Arabidopsis thaliana: one gene and its partner. The protein of the gene in region 2 interacts with the protein of the main gene of each other region in a pairwise test. Each region holds a gene or a part of one and is shown on either strand. Other genes may lie near its edges.

Region 1 (14,136 bases), 8.2 Mb from region 2:
CGCAGTCTGAATCTCCCTAGAAGTAATCGTCGGCTTCTTGTTGTACCTCGCAAGCTTCGAAGACTCACCAGCAAGTTTCTCAAAGATATCATTGATGAAACTGTTCATGATTCCCATGGCTTTGCTGGAGATTCCGATATCTGGATGAACTTGCTTCAACACCTTGAAGATGTAGATCTTGTATGTCTCAACGTTCTTCTTTGATCTCTTCTTCTTCTTGTCTCCGGCGCCGGCTGGTTCCTTCGGGAGTTTCTTTCCGGCTTTTGGTTTCTTCTCTGCCGCTGCTGCTGGTTCGGCTGCCGGAGTTTTCTCTGCCGGTTTCTTCTCCGCTGGTTTCTTATCTGCCTTCGCCATTTTCAAACTTTTCTAGGGAGTGAGTTTTTTTTGCTGTGATGGTTTTGATTTGATACTGTTATCTTCGAGAATTGTGTGTTTGTTTATATAAGAGAATAGGAAGAGATCTGATTAGTTAAGATACTGAAACGCGGATGCGTGACGTGGAGATATGAGTGCTGTTCGATGAAGGGTTTTGGTGAATGGATGGTTCAGATCTATTTTACTTTAATGCGCGAGTGATTTTAAATTTCTTTTTCGAAATATTGAAAAATTCGAATTTTCTGTTGCGCTTTTTGTTATCCGCCATAAGTTCATGAAGCGGCAAAGAGAGAAAAAGTTTTTGGCGTGGATAGCTGACGTGGTTACTTTTGATCCGTCTACCAATGAACGGCTATGATTTTACCGTATCTACAAAGTTGGTAACAACTTTTTCCTATCTAACATTTTTATGGAAATGAAGAACTAATGCATAATTATAAGTTTTCAACTCTTTCAAAATTCTTCAAAAATAACCAACTTTTTATAGATACAAATTTTGAATTTCTCTAAAATACAAACATTTAGTTCAGCTTAATAAGTTGGACTCATCTTAATAAGTTAATATGTAGTTGTATTTTAACAGAGTTAACGATGTTTCTTATATTTTCTTAAAATTCTGCATGATATATCAATAGATAGTTGTTGATTAATCTGAGAAGTGAGAGACGTATTAAACATAAATTTTGATTCTCACTGATTCCACATATTTCTGAGATTAGTGAAAATCTATGCATGATACCCATCAGAACCAAAATCATTTGTAACATTAACGTTAATGCACAAGTCACTATGATACAAATCTGTATATTATCTTATCTTTGTGACATTAATTTAGAGAATATAGAAACTCGTGAAAAGAAAAAGAACAAAAAAAAGAGAGGGAGTGAATGCACGTGTCATTTCTTGAGATATCGTCTATGAAATCTCTATAGACCTCAAACTTCCTATGTTCTTACTTTAGGGTGATTGTCGGCGGCTTGGACGACCCATGTGCCGGTACGTGGCCCAAAAACAAAGAAACGTGGCTCATCAGCTTGTCTTTCCTAGAAAATTTAGTCCCACAAGAGCAAACCCACTTTATATCCCCACAATGCTTCTCGTGTGTCCTAAGATCAGACAGAACCGAGAAATGCTTCACACTACATCTCCTGCACATATACATTTTGGGACAATGACTCCTCTTGTAATGATTCTTGGCGCAAATCACAGATTTCAACGGTTGAAACTTCTCGTGCCTCTGGTTCCATCTACACCCGTGTTGAGGACAGGAGTAGTAATGTTTCTTTAACGAGTATCCTCCTTTCTTGTCTTGGCTCGTTGGGCTGATCAAGGCCTCACGTGTCTTGTACTCATCCCCGTGCGCTCTCATGTGCATCCTTAGATTAGCGTCTCTCTTAAACCCTTTCCCACAAATCTGGCAGTAATGCGTGTATTTCGCTAGTAGGTCCGCTACGTCTAGCTCCAGTATATCGTAGCTCCCGGAACTTGGTTTAGAACGATGTTTATCTTTTTTAGGGTTTATGGTTTCGGTGTTGTACCAATCAAGATTCTGGTCGGGAAACGAGATCTGCCCTCTTTCTTGGACACCAAAAAGGTTGGTCGACTCTTGCACAAAATCATGACCCGGGTCGGTTTCTTGTCGGGAAAACTCCAAAACCATTGCATCTACGGTTTGATCATTATCGATATCGTTGTTGTTGTTGTTAGATCCGATTTGGAGTTGTTGGCAAGTATATAACATGGATGAAGCAGCCGTGATGATCTCTTGAACCAAACTTCCGATGTTAGCCACGGCCAAAGACGTTGACCCCGAGGATTGGTTAATGTTATTAGTAGATACCATGTAGAAGCTGACCAGAGATTGGATCTGATGGACTTTTTCATGTAAGGTAGATAGATTGTATAGAAGAGAGAGTGAAACGTCGTCGTCTTCCATTGATTTCGTCCCGGTCGTGGTCACGGGATTAACATAGATTTGTTTTGAGGAAGTACTGGTCTCCCCGGAGAAGCTAGAGATTGATCCTTCAACTTTCTTTGCAATATGCTCATCTCGATTCATCATATGTATATGCATGTATATGAAGAATCTAGCTTGAGTTTTGTTCTTATATTTTCTTTGGATTTTGTTGAATCTTTAAATTCTTTGTGGTATATTTGTTTCATATATATGCCAGACGGTCCAGACTCTAGAGAGATGCAATGAAGAAGACACCCTACCCTCTACCGTATAAAATACTCGCGAGTTGTGACATACATTCACACAAAATAACACACACAAACAAATACATGTCACACATATAGTAATTTATTTTTTCGTTTCACTTTATCAAACATCTTAAAATCGGAAAGATTATACTAAATTGAGTAAAATTTGAAAACTAAGCTATTGAACCTAACTATATTTTGAACCTTGCAGTTTATTAGTGATTTAAAATCCAAAAGATATTTTGATCCAAACAAAATATTGTAATTAAAAAAAAAAACATTCTAATTGATATATTATGTCAAGTAATGTTTTTTTTTCTTAATTTAGAAGTTAGAATTTAAGAATTTTATGTTTTCTAGAGACGGGACACACGTTAGGTTACATTCATCTGTTTTAGAAAGAAAAAAAAAATTAGCGGGGGTTGATGAACCCTTAATCAACCATTGGGCCAAAGGACTTCCACAACTATATTTGTTTATGTTTATGTTTGATTTTATTTAAAATCAGATATTTAATTAAAGATTTACAAAGATGTTTTAAATTAAAAAGACATCTAGACGTTTATAAATATACGATACATAGAAGTTGTAAATAATGTCTTTTTGTCAATAATGACAATAATATGCAATATACAGATTTTGATGAACCCGGATGCTGGCAAGAGAAAACGCTAGAAAAGTTCAATAGACTAAGTTTTTGTCGTCATGAATGATGTTTTTTCTTCTCTCTAAATGCATTTGTCATGTATATGAATTATTTACATTAGGTTGAAAATGGAATAATAGAAGTATGTGATGTGGTTAGGATTAACTTGGAAGTCAACTCGAGATAGCAAAAGCGACCATCCCCACATAAATCCTCCCCCGGATGAAACCTTAACTAGACTTTGTCAGCTACATCTTATGAGTTAAATAAACGAAGAAGGTCAATCCCGATGTAATTAAAGAATGATTAACCTAAGTCAAGTGTTAGTGTTCTTTCATGGCCTTTTCTTGTATTGTTCTATATACAATACGTTCTGTAACTGTCAAGCTCACATCTATATAATATCTTATGTCAAATCCAATCCTTTAAAAAAAAAGTTGCGACTACATTCAGTTCTCTTATCTGCTTACATGCACACATATTTTTTTTTCTTTTCATGCACACATATTTGTACACGCGTGCATATACGATTATATGATTGGATCTTACATGAAATGTTTATAATGTGGCCATCGGCATGAGTTGCAATTATATTAAATAAATATTGCTTATGCGTGCTCATTTTTTAATTTCGGAAGAAGTAGTTTTGTTGGTGACTAATCAAAATTTCTATGCAGTGATGATGATATGGGTGATCAATGCTGTTTCTTGGGGTTAGCTTTGGTGAGTTACGTTACTTTTTGTCCTTTAGAAGAAAAAAATGCCACGTTAGTTAACGCTTTTTAAAAAAAAGAAGTTGCTGCTACCATTACAGTGACAGTGTATTCCACATGCGATTCTAGTAGAGTTTTTTAGTTCTTTTTGCTGGGAACCAACCTGCAAACCACATTTGTAAATAAGACGTTATTAAACCAGACTTCACTAATATAGGCCAGTCGAACTGGCTCACCACAACATGGGAATGTAGGATGACATGAATCTCTGAATTACAAATGTCATGTATATAATTACCCTCAGTTTTAAAATGCTACACCAAACAAATTCAACTCAACTACTTTAATTTAGTTTTCAAGTTTCCAATATGTGACCAAAAAGTGAAAGCTAACAAAAACAAGACCTTTGCGTAGCTGGGAGTTCGAACTCCACTTTCCCTATTATTACGTACTTTGTCAAATAAAAAAAGAAAATATAAAGAAAAAAAATACACAAATTTCTTTTGGAAAAATTATGCTTGCTACCCAAGCTAACTATTTTTGAATGAGTTTTAAATTGCAATTTCAAATTCCTCCAATCTGATCACCGGGACGTGAGCAAGAACACGGGATCGGAGATGATTACTCGTCATCATAATCTGATGATCCATCGGAATCACCGGAGAAATAGAGGCGGCACGTGGTATCGCCAGAAGTTGGATTGTAATTTCTTTCTTCATGACCTTTGGCAATTTGTCTGTTGTAGTTTGCTCAATTACCCGTAAATTAGCAGAATTAAGTTGTAACCTGTAAAAACTAACAGTAATCAGACAATCCTTTAAAATATATATATTTATGTCGCCGGCCAAAACCTGTTTCTTGTTGGTAACGTTTGCCCATTCATTATTTACTATTATTAGGGTTTTAAAACTCAGATGATCACTTGTTCTTTAGATTCTGTTACCTAAACAGTAAAAGAAGAATTAATTCATATAAAAGATCCAAATCCTTGTAATCCTTCTCCGATAACACATTGCTCCTGGAATCTTTTTTTTTTTTTAATTTGTTTCATTTGAGGGTTCATCATCATCAATGGAGGTGTTTGGAGATAATAAGATGTTTTACATGAGAGACACATGGAGAGAAGGAACCATGATTTGTGACGTCTTACCTATCAACCCTAGCTCCAATGGTGTTTGGCCGCAACAAAAATTCTCAGATCCTAACATCAATGTTCATTTCTGGAATTACGCGTTTCCACACTTGCAAATGATATTTCTCATCATCTCTTTCTTATGGCAATTCTTACATTTCTTCCTTCGACGTCTTGGCATGATACGTTTCACTTCTCATATGCTTGTAAGTAATCGAAAATCTCGATTTCGTTTTCTTGTTATCTGGATTTGAAATTTGAGGTTTGTGTTGATCTTTGTTTGTAGACTGGTGTTCTTTTAAGCAAGTCTTTTCTAAAGGAGAATTCAGCAGCGAGAAGATTCTTTTCTACAGAGGATTACAAAGAGATTGTGTTTAGTCTCACTGCTGCTTGTTCTTACATGATGTTCTGGTTCTTGATGGGAGTTAAAATGGACACGGGTTTGATCCGAACCACAGGAAGAAAAGCTATCACCATTGGGCTCTCCTCTGTTTTACTTTCGACGTTAGTTTGTTCCGTTATCTTCTTCGGAAACTTAAGGGACGTTGGAACGAAAAACTCAGACCATACTCTCAATTCATTAGAGTATGTTGTGATTTACTCAATCCAATGTCTTTCTTCTTTCCCCGTTGTTGGAAACCTTCTCTTTGAGCTCAGGCTACAAAACTCAGAGCTTGGTCGTCTAGCGATATCTTCTGCTGTGATAAGTGATTTCAGCACCTCAATTCTCGCTTCCGTTCTCATATTTATGAAGGAGCTCAAGGACGAACAAACACGGCTCGGGAGTGTGTTTATAGGTGATGTTATTGCAGGGAATCGTCCTTTGATGCGAGCAGGGATAGTGGTTCTCTTTGTATGTATTGCCATCTATGTTTTCAGACCGTTAATGTTCTACATTATTAAACAAACACCTTCCGGTCGTCCCGTCAAGGCAATCTACTTAAGTACAATAATTGTTATGGTTTCTGGTTCAGCCATTCTTGCCAATTGGTGCAAGCAATCTATTTTCATGGGACCTTTCATCTTAGGTCTTGCTGTTCCTCATGGTCCTCCTTTAGGTTCTGCGATCATTCAGAAGTATGAGTCGGCTATATTCGGAACTTTTCTTCCGTTTTTCATTGCTTCATCTTCCACGGAGATCGATATTTCGGCTTTATTTGGTTGGGAAGGTCTCAATGGTATTATACTCATCATGGTAACATCTTTTGTCGTCAAGTTCATCTTTACTACTGTTCCTGCTTTGTTCTATGGTATGCCGATGGAAGATTGCTTCGCTCTATCTCTTATCATGTCGTTTAAAGGCATCTTCGAGCTCGGTGCCTACGCCTTGGCCTACCAAAGAGGGGTATGTAATTATGTATACACACATAATGAAGTTCATAATCATAATTAATCATTTCAATACAAAGTTTATCTTATGTTTATGCTTTGAACATTGCAGTCTGTCCGTCCCGAGACCTTCACTGTGGCGTGTCTTTACATAACGTTGAACTCCGCAATCATTCCTCCGATCTTGCGGTACTTATACGATCCTTCGAGGATGTACGCGGGGTACGAGAAGCGGAATATGCAGCATTTGAAACCAAACTCTGAGCTAAGGATTCTGTCTTGCATTTACAGAACTGATGATATAAGTCCAATGATTAATCTTCTTGAAGCTATTTGTCCGTCCCGGGAATCTCCTGTAGCTACCTACGTTCTCCACTTGATGGAGCTTGTAGGACAAGCAAATCCGATCTTCATTTCACATAAATTGCAAACTCGCAGAACAGAGGAGACGTCTTATTCAAACAATGTACTTGTCTCCTTTGAAAAGTTTCGTAAAGATTTCTATGGTTCGGTCTTCGTAAGCACCTACACGGCTTTATCTATGCCCGATACGATGCACGGAGATATATGTATGCTTGCTCTCAACAACACTACTTCTCTCATACTCCTTCCTTTTCACCAGACTTGGTCTGCTGACGGATCAGCTCTTATCTCTAACAATAACATGATCCGGAACCTTAACAAGAGCGTTCTCGACGTGGCACCTTGTTCTGTCGGAGTCTTTGTATACCGAAGCAGTTCCGGACGGAAAAACATCAGTTCCGGACGGAAAACCATCAATGGCACAGTTCCAAACTTATCATCTTACAATATTTGTATGATCTTCCTAGGCGGTAAAGACGATAGAGAAGCAGTGACACTTGCTACACGAATGGCCCGTGACCCAAGGATCAATATAACCATTGTTCGACTGATCACTACCGATGAGAAAGCACGAGAGAACACGGTGTGGGATAAAATGCTTGACGATGAACTTCTTAGAGACGTGAAAAGCAATACATTAGTAGACATTTTCTACTCGGAGAAAGCGATTGAAGACGCGGCTGAAACATCGAGTTTGCTAAGATCGATGGTAAGCGATTTCGATATGTTCATAGTGGGAAGAGGGAACGGAAGGACGAGTGTGTTCACAGAAGGGCTTGAGGAATGGAGTGAGTTTAAGGAGCTTGGTATTATTGGAGATTTATTGACTTCACAGGATTTTAATTGCCAAGCTTCTGTTTTGGTTATACAACAACAACAGCTAATGATTTAGGTTCTTATATACGTACATAATCATTTTGCAATTTTACCATTCTTTTCATTATAGACTTAGAAATTTAATTGTAAGAAGAATATTTTTTTTGTAAATTTTATTTAGACCATTCAAATGTAACTTTTTGGAAAATCCACTTAGCCGATCAGTTCATCACAAATATAATCGCATAAGGTTTTGCGATCAACAACTATATTAATCTTTATATTTATAGAAAATCATGTTTATATTAACACTAAAACAACATAGAGGGAAATAGAGAAACTGGTCAAGATCGAACATATTTATTTAGGTTAAAATAGTTTGAAATTTCATGTTGAACAATGTAAGAAATCGAAGTAAAATACAAGACATTTTCACTTATTTTTCGATCAGTTTCACTGAAACCTTTGTTGTGCTTGAGCTCGGATGAACAATGGAGATATCTCACGTTTGAATTTTTCTCTTACATAATCTGTGTTTTAGAAATCATTGGATATTCATAGGAGTGGTTATAGAACTACATTGTGCACATTACTCGTATTTTTTTTCATTAAAGCTCAGGTGAAATTTTCAATTTTGTTATTTATTTATTATTATTATTATTATTTTTTTAATTTTTTAATTTTTTAGCAGTAGTGTTTGCTTCAACAAAGCGCCAAGATTTAGATATTTGGAATAATTCTGTGCAAATTAACTGTGCTAAGTAGTACGAAATGGATTATTTGCATACATTTAAAATACAATTTTAATGAACACTAAATTTAGATAAATCAATAATTAACTGGCTTATCAATGTATTCCAACTGCGTCAAACTCATCTTTGTATACTATGTTAGAGCAGAACAACTCATCTCTCAAAAATACCGGATTATTGATTTGATATATACTATTTTAGGAACAATATATGCATGAGTTTCTTACTCAAAAACAATTTGGTAATGAATGGATTAACCAATGTTGTTTAGATCAATTATATTAAATCTATTTCCACGTCAAATGTAAATTCTAACATTTACCCATGATGCGAGTATAATTCAATTTTTTTTTTTGAGATCATTCACTGACATATGTTACACTCATCCATGTTGTTGTTGTTGTTGAACTACTAAAACAGAAACCCTAGCTCTTAAATCTTTGGATGCAAGCAAATCTCCGATGACTCCTAACTCCGGAAGCTCCATCCACTGTGCCAACCCTGTTAAGTCCAGCGAATAATCTTCGTGATCTCTTCCTACAATCATCAAATCATGGTCTTCCGCCACCAATCTAACGGTGGTGGCCACCGCAGGTCCACCGTTGACTACCTTCTCCATATAGTTAAAATTGTTGGCCAATGAATATGTCGCTTTCAAATCATTCAAGACCTCGTCGTCAACAAGGTAATCCCAATTCTTGGACTTATCTAGTTCTTGACCAGACAAAAATCTGATAACAGTAAGACACACTCTCGAGTTCTGTCCCATCCATTTCGCAAGGGAAAGCGCCTCACGATCATCTTTACCACCAATGAAGATCACACCAACGTTAATGATACTGTTGGTCTTTTTCTTACCTTTATTATATCCTCGGTAGTTAAGTATGCCGACAGAACATGGAGCGAGGTCAAGGAGAGATTCATTAACACGTCTGATCATAATATCGTCTGATTCATATTCTCCATCGGGTGACCATTTTCGTCCCGAAGGGACAATGATCATCGATGTGAGGTGGTCTAAAGCAAGATTGCAAATGTCTTGATCCATTAGGTTCTCATGAGAATAAGCTGTGAAGGAACTAACAGTGGTAGATTCCCAATTCTCTTGTTGAAACTCGGTGAACGCGAGCATCATTGTTTGTATGTAAGAGTTTTGAAGCAACCGCGCTTTAGACCGCTTGTCATGAGGTATCAAGATGGGAAACGTACGTCCTGCGAGTTTCACTAGGTGTAACGCCGTGACAGCAATGACTCCTCTGTCTTTGTTATCGTTGTTTAGCGGCGAGGAAAGCAATTCAAGTAGCGAGATCGCACCTGAGATGTTGTCAGGCTTGTGCAAACAAGTTAGAATCTTGAGATCTGAGTTTGTTTTAAGATGCATAATGTCTCTCTTGACATATCCAATATACTTCCTCTTTGGATCATATAGTGCTTTTATAATCGTAGGCAAAATCCCCGCGTTCAATAGCACGTAAATAATCATGACCGTGTACGTTGCTCGCGACAAATTCTGTTAAAGAAAACAAAAAACATTCAACCATTAATTCAAAACCATATGATGCAATATATATACATGTAGAGTGTAGGTTAGATGAAGATTATTTTACCCTTCTTCTTAAGGCGACATCGAAGAAGCATAAGTCAACAAAACCCTTATAGTTCATGATAGTGGCGATGATAACGGATTCTCTAGTAGGTAACTCGCAGAAGATCAAGCAAGGTACAAAAGAGGCAGTCCATTTCACTACCACTGTAAGACCCAGTAGAAGTATGTTAAAGGAAATGTCATCGAACGAATACAATGCTCTTACAACGTCAGCTTTCATCGCCATGACCGCGATTGAAATAGGGAAAAATATGTTTGTAACCAAGCTCTCGAACCTTGCCTCTAACGCAGATCCCAGAGGCGGACCGTCTGGGATTGCCAACCCCACCAATAAAGCTCCTAGAATGTACATTTGGTTGAAAACACTTAAGTATATACTCGCGGCGATTGCGGTCAGGATTGTTACGTATAAGTAGACTTTCGGTACGGGCTTGCCTTCTGGGGTCATGTCCACTATTCGTTGTGCCATTGGCTTGAAGATGAATAGGATCACAAGGACTAAGATGATCAATGCCACTATGTCGCGGTTGGCTATTCCGGGCGATACATACCTGCAGACCGTTTCAAACTATTATAGCAAATAATGTTCGTTAGATAGTAGATATACATTACTAATCAAACACTCCGGTGCCGTCTATTGTGTAGATAACAATTAGTATTGCTTTATAGACAATAAAACGGTAACTTTTCGTTGATCAAACTTTTAACCAGTTTTAGAGCATTATATATATTGCTTTAGGTCTCCGGATTTGTAGACTTTGATTACTACAAAAGTATATTTAATGAGGTAAGTAGTTTTGTATGCAAATGCACCAATTAGATTCCTAAATTAATCGACGTCTTACATACCTGTATGTTCCAACGTAGGAGATGCATACTAGAGTGAGAAATCCAAGGAAATCGCTGACGGCGGCTGTAGATATGGCGATGCGGCCGAGCTCGGAGTTTGACATCTTCAGCTCATATACGAGGTGGGTTATGACCGGTAACAGCGTTACTGCTTGAATCGATACAATCACGGAGCGTTCTGTTGGGGCTAGCCTCAGAGGCATATAAAGAGGGTCGACCTTGTCGAGACGGAAGTTTCTGAAGGCTAACCCGCTGATCATAGTCACGAAAAAGGACGAAACCGCGATTACTATCGGACGTTTACCGATTTGATACACCGCTCTCTTGTTGGTCTTCACGCCCATTAAGAACGTGAACATTACCAACCCAAGCCTGGCCACACCTTCCAACGCTACGTTTCCGGGGATGTCTAACGATAATCGGTCCGATGAATACTCCAGAAGATCAAGCAGCTGAGGTCCAAGAATCAAACCAGCCTAGTTCAAAAAAAAAAAAAAATTGTTACTTGCAGTACAAGAAACCAAGCGTTTGGTACTTGCGATACAAGAAATTGACAGTTGTGGACGTTTTTCTTAACTTACAAGTATGTTGGAGACGAACCGTGGTATGCCAATACGTCTGAGGAACATATGAGATAAGACGATGCAAACGAAGATGAGAATGATCTGCAGCTCAAGGAGAGGCAATGCATATCCGAAGATAACAGTAGGAGTTTCATATTTTTCCATGATTCCATAAGAAGAGATGTTGAAAAAAGTAGCTCCGTAACAAATTTCAGCTTTGCTATGAGGCGGTGAAGGCCCAGGAACTAGTGCTTGAGAATCGGTCATGATGATGACGAAGATATGCTTTTGTCAAACTTGTAAAAGATCGATTTCGTTTTTTTTCGCTGATAATTTATTCTTAACGTCAAAATATTCAACAACGTAACGGTTTGTTTTAAAAAAAAAACAGTTGCTGTTGTTTATCAAATAGTTGGCGCCCCCCTTTGACTAGTACTTTTTGGTTGCGAAATAATTTTGTTACGTTTTGGTCAAACTTATCAACAAATAAATGATGATACTTAGGCACTCTAATCCTTTCCTAAAACTTGACCATTTTGGTTGACCAAAAAAAGAAAAAGAAACTAACCCATTTTACCAAATACTTATTTTATAACAAACCCAAAAGATAAGCCCAATCTAAGCCCATTGAAGATCAAATATTGAGTTGACACTACCTACTAATCTAACTCAAGAACTTAGCCCACAACTTTAACACTACTAATATCAAACTTCAAAAAAAAAAAAAAGTATTCCATAGTGTGTTTTAGTAGAATTTATAAAAGAGTGGACCCAAAAAATTGAGTCATCAAGTTGGAGGACATATCCATTATCCAATCCTATCCTGTTTTCTGCTTTTTAAAAACAAGACATGACATATTGACATTGACCCACACACCACAAAAATTTGTTCTTAATGACCCGCCAAGTCGCCAACTGAATTGAATCTTAAACCGAGTGTTTCATATGTTATTAACTTTCACTTAGTACATTAAACTTTTTCTAATAGAATATAAAAAAATAACTTTCTTTTTAATGCATAATTACAAGTAAGATATTTTTTTTAACAAAAGTCCGACAACGAATCTCTTTTCACTTTTCATTTTCAATTTTTTTTACCTCTAGTTTTCTCATTAATGTTGATGAAATTTGGCTCTGACTAATTAACTATTATGTATTTTATTTAAAATTAACTATTATGTAATTTTTTATTATTTAAAATTATGTATTCTGCTAATGAATTCCAATTAGGAGTAAACCATAAACAAGTGGAAAAATATTTCTGTTTATTAAGAAGAAAATTTATATTTAGCAAAAAAAACAAAAACGTTAAAACCTTTTTAATAATGAGTATGGGATTTGTTGATTAGGCAAAATAAAAAATCTGGCGTGTTGCTGAGTCATCACTCATCTTCATATAAATAAATATCATCAACATGATTGCTTTTTCATCTCTGCAACTTCCTCTGTTTCTGATTACCAAACGTCGTCAATACATTTCTTCAAATTACGTTTCTTTTATTCTTTCGTTACTCTCAACAAATTTTGATATCTGATTGGTGTTGATTCCAAGTAAGAAAGATCAAAACTTTAGGTAAAGTATGGATATGGGTTTCCATGAAAATGAGCAAAATCAAGAATTTGCGAATCTAATGGAGATTGGATCTGGGCATTACGGGTAAATAACATCTTTTGAGTTTCTTTTGAGTTTTGAAGCTAAAGTTTCATTTTTTTTTTTTTTTGAATTTGATTATCCTTGTGTGTGTGTGTTTAGGTGTTCACATTATAGAAGACGATGCAAGATTAGAGCACCATGTTGTGATGAGATTTTTGATTGCAGACATTGCCACAACGAAGCTAAGGTAGAAAACTAATATTAAAGGAATAGTCTTTTTACTTCTCTGTCTTTGTAACTTGTGTGTGTGTGTGTGTTTTTGTGAAGAACAAGTTTTGGTTATAGATGTTAATGTGTTTTGTTTGTTTCAACAGGATTCTCTTCATATTGAACAGCATCATAGACATGAGCTTCCTCGACATGAAGTTTCAAAGGTTTTTAACTTTGAACATTCTGGTTTATGAACATTTTGATTCTGTTTATTCATTGTGATAACAATTTTGGTCTACTTTTTTTCAGGTCATATGCTCGCTTTGTGAGACAGAACAAGACGTGAGTATCTACATTTTAGATATACAAATTCTATTGGTAAATATGTTTATTGATGTAGAAGAGACCTGTAATTTGTTTTCTTCAGGTTCAGCAAAACTGCTCCAATTGTGGTGTATGTATGGGGAAGTACTTCTGTTCAAAATGCAAGTTCTTCGACGATGATGTAAGTTTTGTAATTGAGTTATTGCTCTTTCTATAGCTGGAATTAGTAGTAATGAGACTTAATATTGGTTGTTTCAGCTTTCCAAGAAGCAATATCACTGTGATGAGTGTGGGATTTGCAGGTATAGAAACTGGCATTGTGATTTTTGCTTACCTATTCAAAAAAGAATCTGTTGATTTTTGGTAACTAATTATTGATATGTTATCTCATGATGTTGGTTTAATAGGACCGGAGGAGAAGAAAACTTTTTCCATTGCAAAAGATGCCGTAAGAGACAAAACCTCATGTTCTTGTTTCTACAAATTCTCGTGCCTTTCTTTGTTTGGAGATCTTATTTTGTTTTCTTAAAACAGGATGTTGCTACTCCAAAATTATGGAGGACAAACACCAATGTGTTGAAGGCGCTATGCATCACAATTGCCCGGTTTGTTTTGAGGTATAAGAATCAGATTCACCCATTTCTTAATGCAACATAATG
Region 2 (11,826 bases):
GTGGAGGGTAAAACGGTAAAATCGTCCACGAAACTCCGTTCCAAGCGTAAGGCCAAGTTGGTGGTGGTCCTGGAAAGCATGGAACTTTTGGTAACGGGCTGACTGTTCCAGCTTCTTCGTTTGTCTGGTTTAACGGAACCGTAATCTTCAAGCCTTCATTGGGTTCTTGCAATACAGTTTGTGTCTTCAACAATGACTTCTCAACAAGATTCAATCCAGAAGCCATAGATTCACAAAGCACAGAATCAGAGCCAAAAGTGAGAAGATTTGCACCATTAGGATGTTGAAGATCAGTTCTCGCCACCTTCTGCATAGCTTCCGCAGATGTTATACTTACATGACGGTTATAATGAGAAGCTGGACTCTTATTCTTACGTCTCCCAGCACCAACCGGAACATTCCTCATCGTTCCACCAGCTGTCCAATATCTCTGACATTTCTTGCAGAAATGGCGAGGTTGGTTAACATTATAGTTGTTGTAGTAACAGAACTTGGTTTCCATGCTGTTACATCGCGGACACGGTAGAATCTTATCAGGTTTCTTTAACTTCCCCTCTTGAGAGCAAGCAGTACCACCTGACTCTTCATTCGTCTTTGCAGCTTTTGTTGTTTCCGTTTTTTCAGTTATACCCGATGTAGTAGTAGTAACATCATTAGATTCATTCCTCAATGACTCTTCCTGACACTCACTATCTTTTTCTTCCTGAAGAATAACATAAGAACCAGAGTCAGATCGTTGTTATGTATCCTAATCAAACAAACAACAAACAGAAGCTAGAAGCTACAGGGATCAAAGACTTGATTCCAATCACAGAGAAGCTAAAACCCTGAAAAGTTCTTAAGCAAATCAATATCAAAACCTATAACCATCAATCAAAACCAAATGGAACTAATTAAGATCTCAAATCACTTTATAACAAAAGGAAAAAAAAAAACTCATTTGAGAATCCAGATTTACAATTTTCGAATCCCCAAAAGCTCTGAAAACCTAGTTCTTACATAAACAAACCAAAAATCATAACTTTATCAATAAAACTAAGATTTGACCAATCTAACATAAACCCATCAATCATTTCCATTTAACAAATCAAAATCAATTCACAAGTTCCAAAAAAAACTAACCTTTTTATCAGTCTCGCTCTCTCCTCCACCATCACCAACATCATCACCTTCTTCTCGTCCTAAACCGGAATCACCCATCTCTTCATCATCATCATCGCCGGTACACGAATCTGATAACCGAACAGGAATCTGAGTTTCGGTTAAAAATCCGGTATAGCTAGAAGAAGAATCAACAACACCAAGCTCAGGTAAAGGAATCGTCTTTCCAAAGAGCTTAATCGCCGGATCAGCCATGGTAATGATTCCTTTTCACTTCTTTCTTTCTTTCTTCTCCAGCGAGCAAAAAGCGGAAACTTTTTGAGAAGACAGAGGAAAAAAGTTCCAATTTTTATTTGTTTAAAAGAGAGAGAGAAACGACTGTCTTGTTATCGGTGGTTGTCTGAGTTTTGATTTCTAGATTTGTTAATTGGGAATGCTTTTTTGTCTTTGCGAGAGAGAAAGAAAAAAGATTTACAGATTTTGCTTTTTGGGTTTGTGATCTTTCGAATTGTACAACCTTTTGATTCGCCCAGAGTGCCACGTCATCACACGTGAGGATTCTTAGCCACAAGTTTATTTTTGTTTTTGTGGACTTTTTTTTTTCTCTTTTTCGTCTCTTTTTGGCTTTCTTTTTATTTTCCTTTTCAATCTGGTCAGTGGTCAGCACTTTTTTTTACTTTTACTTTTCTTTTCATTTTTAACTTTTTTATTTTAAAAGTCTGAATTTTTTTAAATTAATGTAAAAATGGTTGATTAAAGGCCATTTAACTTCTAATTTACATGTTTTCTAATTCTAACTATGTCAATAAATTTTTTGTTACCCACACATTTATTAAAAAATTACTGTTTATAAATGAAATTTCAGAAGAAAAAACAAACTTTAGAGTAACAAACAAAAAACATATTTAAAACCTTGAAACACTTTTTAATTCCTAGCTTTCTATAATAGCCATATCCATGGAAAACAATATCATGATTAGATTTGGAGAGAAAGAAAAAAAAAACATATTTATGAAAGAAACAAATTACATGATATAAACATTAATTTTCTCATTTTTAAAGAACTAAGAAGATCCAACAAAAAATTAAAATACTAAAAAAATATAGTATTTTATCCCCAAAAAAACCAATCTTTGTCTTCAAACAAATCCATTTTACAGATTGATACTCCTTGTGTTCTTTTTTCTTTGATTTTTTAGGAAAAACACAAATATTAAGAAAACATATTAAATGTTGCTTTTAAATGTATTATTCTTTGTAATTTATAATTTTCAATAACTCTAAACCAATGATATTCAATAATTCTTATTGAAGTTTACAATTTATCAATTATAACTAAATAAATATTGCATTGAAAACCAAAAAATCAATCTTTTTGAAACAATTTTTTTCTAGAAAATCAAAAAAAAAAAACAAAAGGAGTATGTGTTTTTTTACGCTGATAATAATAGTCATTTAGTTACAGTTTTAGCTTGGTACTTGTAGGAAAAATAAATTAACATTGAAATCACTTTCTTTTTTTTAAATGAAGCTACAAGTATTTACTATATAGTGGATCTTCAGTTTCTTTCCTCTTTTTTGCCTATATTCTTGTCATAAAATCTTCAACATATCAGAGATACGTGGCTGTAATAAGTCGATGTTAGAAGTTGTGGTTACTAATGAACGCCAAGTCGATTTGGAAAAAGTGCAATATTGTGGATAAGAAGTAATTGAACGCCAAGTCTAACATTGAAAAAGTGCAATTATGTGGATAAGTATATAGTACCTTTATTTCAGACCACCCCAAATCACAAATATATACTATATAATAAAGTTTTTTCATTACATTTATTATATTATCCCCACTTGGAGGCACGACTGATAAAGATTCTTAGGAAACATATTTTATCATTTTTCGACTGTTTCCCCGAACTAAAGAAACGTTATTTGAGTTTTGTTTTATTAAAATTAGCATTTTTCGTATAAAAACAAGTCTCGTTGATATATCACATGACTTGAACATTCTCGAATTAGAACTTGAATGAACTATATTGTAAAAAAAAAAAAAAAAAAGAACTTGAATGAACTATATTGTAAAAAAAAAAAAAAAAAGAACTTGAATGAACTATATTGTAAAAAAAAAAAAAAAAGAACTTGAATGAACTATATTGTAAAAGCTGGCTAAGTTCATTAAGTGACTCTTGGTGAAAACGGAGAATTTTTGCTTAATGAAAACATGGTGATCAAATTTCGAATATTACAATACAAGATTGATTCGAATAAATTTTCATATCGTTACTAGGAAAAACAAAACTCCATTTCATTATTGCTAATTGGGTAGACTTTTTATCTTCGTATTTATAGAAAATTTGTAGATCAAGTTATGTGTTTATGTAGATAATTTTACTGGCTAATCAATAAAATTAAGAATTTTCTTTTCATACTGATGAATTTTCTGACATGATATCAAAGCATAACCATATAAATACTAGTATTTTGGTTTGTTCGATCCCTCACATATTTGAAATTTCTTCTTCTTCTCTTTTTTCTTCTTTCTTCCAATCTTATATTTTGTCACTTTTCTTCTTGTTAGTCTTTGATAACGCTGGTTCTTTGTAGAATTGCGGGATATGAACAAGGGACCTTCTCGTCTTCTTGACTATGTTGATATCTTTGAAAGAGTGCCGAAACAAGGAACGTGTTATGAAAAAAAATCACTTTTTAATCCTATCAATTCATCAGAAACTGAAGACAATGAACACTTATACAACTCAGGGGTTGATAAGCTCAAATCTAAAGAACTCATAATCTAATCTAAATAAAATAGATACAAAACACAACGTGGAGATTAAGACTTTGGGCCAACATGACATGCCTACACAACAAAAAGGACAAAGCCCACGCGGACTCTTTTTTTTTTTTTTGGCCTCCACTACATCACGGACTCAATTGGTAATTAATTGCATAGTTTGAGATCTTAACAAAAAAAGTACTGCATTGAGGAAGCTTTTACTAACGTCATAATGTACTCCTCCTATCAAACAAGTCTAGATAGAATCAACACAACATTTTATTTAACAATACAATAGATAAAAATAGTAGAACATTGGAGTTTAAATCAGATAATCTAAATTACAAGGAAAATACGAAATAGATACTAAAACAAACCAAAAAACAGAAAAGTGAAAATAAATTAACCAGTCATGCAACCAACACCATATCGAGTGGTCGGAAAAACAAGAAACAAAGCACTACAAACAATTCCAACCATTATTGGAAAACTCTCCATAACTTGATCCATCTCTTTCTCTTTCCCTGGAAACAAACATCCCGTGACTCTTCGATCCGAAAACGCAATCGCCATAAACACCAAAACGCTCATCACTGCATGAACAAAGTCATTAACCGTCAACTTATACCTATCATCAGTCACCGGAATCTCTGCCTCCGCTATAACATCTCCGCCACCAAACTCTGGAGGCGGCGGTTTCATGAACACCGCGAGTCCACGTGGCGTCACGAAACCGTAGTAGATCTTCCCATCGGATGCTTTGAAACTGTCGGTAAAATGGAAGAAGAAACAAGACATTGCGCAAAGAAGCAAGAGGAGATGAATCATGAGTGTGTTGATTCCGTTACAGTCTCCGTCACGGTATATTGATGGAAGAACCATTTCGAACATCAAGAGTGTTCCTGTCGGAAGGAAGTTGACGAGCATTGATGTCTTCGAAACCGTTTTTTGAACTCCTTGCGCCACCATGCGACGTTTTCGACCTCTTCCTCCTCCAGCGGCGGCTCCTGACGGGAGGGAAGGCAATGAAGAGATTAAGACGGGTTTTGGTGAACGAGAAGGTGGTGATGGTGATGGTTTTTGCGGCGGAGTCGCCGTGTAAACTCTGATTCCGACGCTTTCCTCTGTTTTCTCCATTTTCGTGTGTTTCTCTCTGTTTTTTTCTTTTGTGATTTACCAGTTTTTCGTATGTTGTGTTAAATGGTTTAATGGAGAATGAGATTTTTGTATTTATTTTTCAAATCGCGGCGGTTATTGACGGTTATAGAGTTTCATCGGACGACGGTTTATGTGGGAAAGGTTTTAGAATTCTTGCTCTCTCTGATAACAAGCCACGTGGAACAAATGAAATTAGTGTAAATGGGCTTGAAGTCCATGAATTGGCCCAAGCCATGTGTTTCTTAAAGAAAATTTCCGCAAGTTATTATTCTATCAAATGAAACATTACTTAAGAGATGATGTATTTGTCTCTAATACTTTTCCGGTGGATTTGGGTAAAAGGAAATCCCTCATTTACGGACAAACCATATTTGGGCTTGATTAAAAAAAATTAGCTATGGCAGAACTGCCCTTTCAAGGAACAAGGCTTGGGCCACTTATGAAGCCCATTTATACGAATTTCATTGGTTCCACGGTTTTTGTTCATCAGTGAAAAAAAAAAAAAAAAACTAGCTAATAAACTTTAATTTTTATTTATATGTTCTTATCAGTTGATCCGATCTTTTCCGATAGAATCGCATCCAAGTGTTTTGGGGTGGATTTCTTAATTATCTGAACCATTTAAATCCATAGGATATAAAGTCTAGTTAAATCGATAAAGTTAATTAATAAAGAGATGCTAGAATCGAGTTGTTATTACAATTAGTTTCTAAAAACATGTGAAAATATGTTGATAAGTATACAAACACATATTAAAATTTCTATAAAATAATTTATAAAAGAAAAATCAGTTTAAGCATATTTTCGTAGTTACTTAGATACAACTTGAACAATATTTCAATCATGATTTTTTTTTTTTTTTTGCAACTACTGATATTCACTCCCTTAGACAAAGTCTAGGTTGAAAGCAAACAAAGAGTCCTTCGCAAGAGAATTAATTTGATAGACATTATATATAGTGAAGATCAACATTTTCCTTGGATTAAATGCGCGTAAATAGAATGTATATTTTTCTTTTTTTTCTATTAGAATCCCATATCAGTATTTGTTTTTTTTTAATTAGACAAATCTATTTATTGCCCATTGATTTTGGAATTTGTAGAAGATGTATGTTTGATATATTTCACAAAGAGATATTGAGCTTGTTTATATACAAGTAGTAGGCGCGTGAGCCTCAAGATTATGCAATAAGTATAATTTCCTAAACTAGTGAATTGGAATATTGAGAAATGAATGAGTATCTAATCATATCTCTTGACAGAATAAACCCTTAGAAAATAATTGTTTGCTTTACCTTGCAAATTACCAAATACGTTTATCTAAATAAGTCATGTATATCTTGTAATAATGTAGTCAAAGTTGGAATCTAATCTTTTTGGAAACATGTTTTTAATTTGGTTGACCAAATATATTGTATTCCTTACTAATGTTAATTTGAAGGATCGCTTGAATAGAGTTAGAGTTCTAATTATAAATACGAAACAACTCTTTCTTCATTCTCATTCAAATACAAAAATATCAAAAATTCGTAATCTTTTGATTTAACAAAGAAAAAAGAGAAAGATGGTTAAAACAAATGTTGTCTCTTTTGTTTTATTTGCTGCTATTGTGCTATGTATAGGTATGTTTTTTTTTTGTATTTAGTACTAAAGCGTTAATGTTTTGTCATGTAGTTTTGATGTTGGAAAATCAATTCACATGATATTTTTTTTGATTAAATGTAGGATCCATTCAAATAAATGGACAAAAACACATTGCACCGTGGATATCTGAAGAAAAATCGATATGTTGTAGAGAACATCCGAGTCTTGGAAGGTGTCTTCCAGGCATTGATGATAGGCCACGAATCTGAGCCCATATAAAACAGCCACTAGTATCGGTAAACATGTGTAACTTGCCCTATTCCGCCGCACCATCCATCGGTCGGTGATTTCATCTGAGTAAAGAAGCGATTTGTTAATCCGAATTTTGAGGATGACTGATATTTGTATGTTGAAAACCATGGATTCAAGAAATACGAACGAGGCGAAGCAGGAGCCAAAAACGATGGTGTGGTGGGACATCAACAGCTGTCCGGTTCCCGATGGTTATGATGCTAGAATGGTCGCTCACTCTATAGAATCGGAGTTGAAGAAGGCAGGCTACCCTGGTCCTCTCACAATCACTGCCATTGGCTACCTTAACACTCCTCTTATGTGTATGTAGCATTGTTCCAAATTTGTGCATTTGTATAGTACTGTTCAAATTATTTTTTAAAGACACCTGAATGATTCTTTAATTAAAATTTACGAATTTGGTAATTTATTTCTAATGTTATATATGTATTTCATTTTTATATTATTTTTGTTAACCACACATTAATTATATATAATAAAAAACTCCATTGGAGATTTCTTTTATACAACACGATATTTTTTTCCTACGTATGTACAAAGTTTCAAGTTAAATTCAGATGGTATAATCAGATAATTATTCCAATATGTAACATGCTCAAGTGAATACATATTTTACCATAAGAATACATATTAAACTCAATATGTAACATCATATTAATGTTTTAAACTCATTGGAGATGCTCTAAAGTTTTCAAAAGATTAATTAATAATATTTTTTCCAAAATTGAAAAGTAGGAGGGAAGGGGCCATTATTTACCATTTATAACTTCATCACTAGCCATTAGGATATTGCTATCGCATGATCAACATTTATTTAGTTGCAAATAGTGATTAATTTTAAAATTGACTAAATCATCTATTGATGGCAGTAGTTGCAGATTGCAATCGACGTGGGTCACAATCTTTTCAGTTTTATCCCAAAACCAAAATAAATCACTCTTTAATCTTCGAATTAAGACATTTAAATGTCGTAGATTGTTACATTTACTAATAAATCAATTATTTTATAGAACTTTAGAGAACAAGAAAATGACTATACTGATATGATTAGGATTCTGTGATTGGAAGGAATATCCACCTCAACCATCACAAGTAACGATCTGATCGATCCTATAACAACGTTTAATGCTTTATGAACTACCAAAAAGAAAAAAACAACAATACACGAGATTAAGAAATGTTATAATGTAGAAGATGTATATATAGTTATGTTTATTTAAATTTTGATCAGAAGATAGTCAAATCATTTTTTTTATTAACAATTGCATTACTATACTTTTTTTTTTTTTTTTTTTTTCGCCTTGCGTTACTATACTTTGAGAACCCGAAGCATTGCAATATACAACAGACGAAACAGCAGTGTTGCAGAAAAAGGATATACGATTGCTTTCTAGAGAAAATCATCCCAGTGAAACATGAACAGTGGACAAGGAGCTAAAACTAAAAGAGAAAGAAAAAATAATGTAGTTGTACTTTCTATTGGTTGAAATGTGAGTTATTAAATTAAATATGTAAAAGTGTACTTGTATGATAAAGACTTCACATAACTCGATAACTTATTCAAGTACACACTTCCTTCTTTATACCATTGTCAGTACTTCCCTTAAATAGTATACAAATGTACTATTTTTTCTTTTCAATTCTCCACTGGTTAGAGTTGTGTACCCATTTCAATGTTTATAAGAAAACATATCAGTTGAAATTCATTTTAGATTGCAAGAGAACTAAAGTTTGGTTTGTCTATCATATATCAGTATATTATGATTTATGACGTGACAAGTTTTTATTACAAGAGAAAAAAAAAGTTAAGTTTAGTAAAATAGAAGGTCATGAGTATACTAAAGATTAATTTTTTCGTTCTTTGGTTGGTTAGTTTGAATAATATTACAAAAACAACCAGAATAAATTCATGTGCATATATAGTATAATAGTAAAGTTCCTCATACGTGCATTATATATCCACCTTTCATTGCTGGGATTAAATCTATAATATAGCATGATTCATGCCTCTCTCGAGGAATTAGAATATAAACTTATAATATATTGAAGACTAATTATGAACATATAAAACTGTCATAAATGTACGAAGCTATTGGAAGACGAGCCTATGCAGCAAAGCCAAAACATTAATGAGCAATTGGAAACTGGTAGAAAGATCTATAAGTACGATACACCTTATACTTCAAGAGAGCAAGACAATGCCACATACAAACTTGAAAGATCTCTTCATCTTTTCTCCAAATGTTTTTTTTTCGTTTGCTATTTATCTCCACAATTCTTGGAACAAAAACTACATTCACAAACGAGAGAATTTTCACAACACCTCTTTTGCTCTCATTTTTTTTTTTTCGTCCATTATGAGTATTAATTATGGTTAGGGAATCTTACAGAATGAAAATGAAGGTGTGAATGGATTGTCTCATCTAAAGCCTTGAATGTGGGAAAAAGGCCATTGTTGTTCAGCCAAGGATGACTTGCCGGTAGCTTGTATTATGATTACTCTATATTCGATTTATATTATGGAGATGATGGTTTATATATATTTACTTATCTACATAGTTTTAGTTGATTTTTTTTCGTACGTAATATAATACGAAAAAGTATTTACTTATTTATATATGTGTGTTGGGGCAAGAAGTGTAACCAAGCTAGCCCGGCAAGTCATCTATGGCTATGCAACTGTCTCTTCCTCTCATTCTAGGCTTACGATGACACGTAAAAAATCCCAAATATCACTAATATGATATGAATATGGATGACTTATTTTATGGGGATGGTCTAATATAATGAGACTTAAACTTTATATTTTGAGTCATTATTTGTTGATATATCTATTTTGGTTTAAACAAATTCATTTTTTCTCAATTTTGTTTAAGTCCCTTAAACTATATGTGGATTTAATTTCTAGGTCTATTACATTATTGGTTGAGATGCTAAAGTAGAGCAAGTTTATAAAGTTTATTTATTTAGTTACTTATCTATTCATTTCTTTACATTACATATATACATTATATATGATTGTACAATGAAATGTTTCGTTCTAACTTTTTGTTCTTTCTTTATTAACAGCTAAGATATAGTACAATGTCAAAATTCAACTTCGGCTCAACATGTAGGAAAGTACTACTGTTATGTCGGTTAATATTATTATCGTTATTTATTTATTTATATGTTCTTATTCACATTGATCTGGTGAACCACCCATTTGTCATTTGAATACAAGATTTGACCACATATATAAATTGTTAAGAGTTTAGTTTGCTCCAATCTTATTTTATTTTTATTTCTAAAATAGAAATCTATTACATTTCTAAAATAGAAATCTATTGCGAATCGTGTCACAATCATATGAAATACTATTACTAATTTTGAAAACAAATTTTTGTGTAATAAAATATTTAGAAAAAAATATTCCAAAATAACGTATGGAAATTCTAGTTTTGGATCGGATATATGAAGAATAAACAAGAGTTATTTCATATTTGATTAACGAAGACAAGTCAAGAATGCAACAGGAAGCAAAAGAAAGAACTTCACACAAACAGATAATAGAAGAATAAATCCACGATTCACAAGTGAACACAACAATTGTTCAGAATCCGAGATCAGGTTAGGAAGCGCATGCATGCAAGGCTTACTTGACGAGTTTGAATAAAAAGTAAATGATAATTGGTGCAGTCACAGTAAAAAATTCCTTGATCTTTATGCTTCTCACGATTGACCGGCTCTCTTTGACAGTATCATCTATCTCATGAAGCTGTAACAACGTTATAACATTGGTTAAAGCAATACCAAGCAAAAAGATCATCTCAAACTATTTGAAAAGCTACTAGTTATTATATTCATACAAAAATAAATAATATATATATATATATATATCTAATGAATCAATGAATATGAAATAAGAGAAAAGTCTTGTTCAAATTCACTAGGTTTTAGCCCAGTCGATGATGTCGTAGATAAAGAAAAGTAGTCTACTTCATGGAAGATCCCTAAATAATCATTTTATTTGCCACTTAGTTCAATTCACCTTGTTGGGATATTGAAAAATATATAGTTTCAAAAACTAGAGGACCTATTAAGTAAGAGAAAAGTCTACCATAGCTTGGCTGTTTTGGAGAGACTCTTTCTGCCTTTGCAAGTTCTCGAGTATTGAAATACCAATATTTTCAGTCTCCAGCAGTTTTCTTTGACTGTCCTTAATCATCTCTCTAGTTCGAACCAAACCCTCGGTTGATTTCATCAATCTTGATCTTTGATCAGCTAAATCCTTAACTCAATAAAAATATACCAAAATGTGTTTTACTAGCAAGATCAAGATTATATTAGATTGAACAAAACCATGTCCTTACATACCGCCTTTTCAGCTTCAAGAACTTCTTCTCGAGTAGTAACTTTCAAGTTTTCAGATGTGTTCCTCTTGATTTCATTTCTCAATCTTTTTAGACTCGATTTGGATTCCTTTAATTTTTCAAGAAGGATGGATTTGATATTGGGTGGAAGGTTACTTGCTGCATGATCCATTTTCGAAATCTAGTGAAATAAAAGGCAGAGAATCATCATAGGGGAAACATAGATAGAATACTTCTATATCCACATACCAATTTTTCTGCATTTTCCAGATCATATGTTATTTCGGACAGCTTCTCCTTCTTCTCTCCTGTAAATTAGTAAAGTATCATCTATGTATCTTAGGCTAGGCAAAAAATGGACTAAAAAATGATGATAATTTAAAAGATACAATACCACATCAAACCCAAACCAAAACATCTCTAAAAGATTGTGTATCTTTTTTTTTTCTACACTTCTCTAAGAAAACATTTTAGTTTTCAAGATCATTAATTCAAGTATCCATGAAGGAGAGGAGACTCTAATTTAATTAACTTCCTCTGTTCTCCT

The links.
Region 1: the proteins of DAU2 (region 2) and CHX9 interact in a protein complementation assay, tested with the Arabidopsis thaliana proteins (one large-scale study listed by BioGRID).

The regions. Positions count from the first base shown.
Region 1 is NC_003076.8:7,652,214-7,666,349, forward strand, and holds CHX9 (cation/H+ exchanger 9), read right to left. Parts: upstream 11,617-14,136; coding exon 11,368-11,616; intron 11,263-11,367; coding exon 10,787-11,262; intron 10,489-10,786; coding exon 9,939-10,488; intron 9,842-9,938; coding exon 8,714-9,841; downstream 1-8,713. Other genes in the region: HTB2 (histone B2), read right to left, coding at 1-354; AT5G22890 (C2H2 and C2HC zinc fingers superfamily protein), read right to left, coding at 1,328-2,449; CHX3 (cation/H+ exchanger 3), read left to right, coding at 5,011-5,277, 5,358-6,416, 6,513-7,655; AT5G22920 (CHY-type/CTCHY-type/RING-type Zinc finger protein), read left to right, coding at 12,930-13,006, 13,103-13,190, 13,318-13,377, 13,463-13,495, 13,581-13,658, 13,736-13,779, 13,885-13,925, 14,012-14,094. UniProt on the Arabidopsis thaliana protein: May operate as a cation/H(+) antiporter.
Region 2 is NC_003076.8:15,868,450-15,880,275, reverse strand, and holds DAU2 (transmembrane protein, putative (DUF679)), read right to left. Parts: upstream 5,152-11,826; 5' UTR 5,012-5,151; coding exon 4,277-5,011; 3' UTR 4,160-4,276; downstream 1-4,159. Other genes in the region: CDF2 (cycling DOF factor 2), read right to left, coding at 1-703, 1,123-1,356; AT5G39645 (Defensin-like (DEFL) family protein), read left to right, coding at 6,596-6,653, 6,757-6,884; AT5G39640 (Putative endonuclease or glycosyl hydrolase), read left to right, coding at 7,007-7,237; AT5G39630 (Vesicle transport v-SNARE family protein), read right to left, coding at 10,562-10,684, 11,027-11,197, 11,284-11,460, 11,529-11,587. UniProt on the Arabidopsis thaliana protein: Involved in membrane remodeling.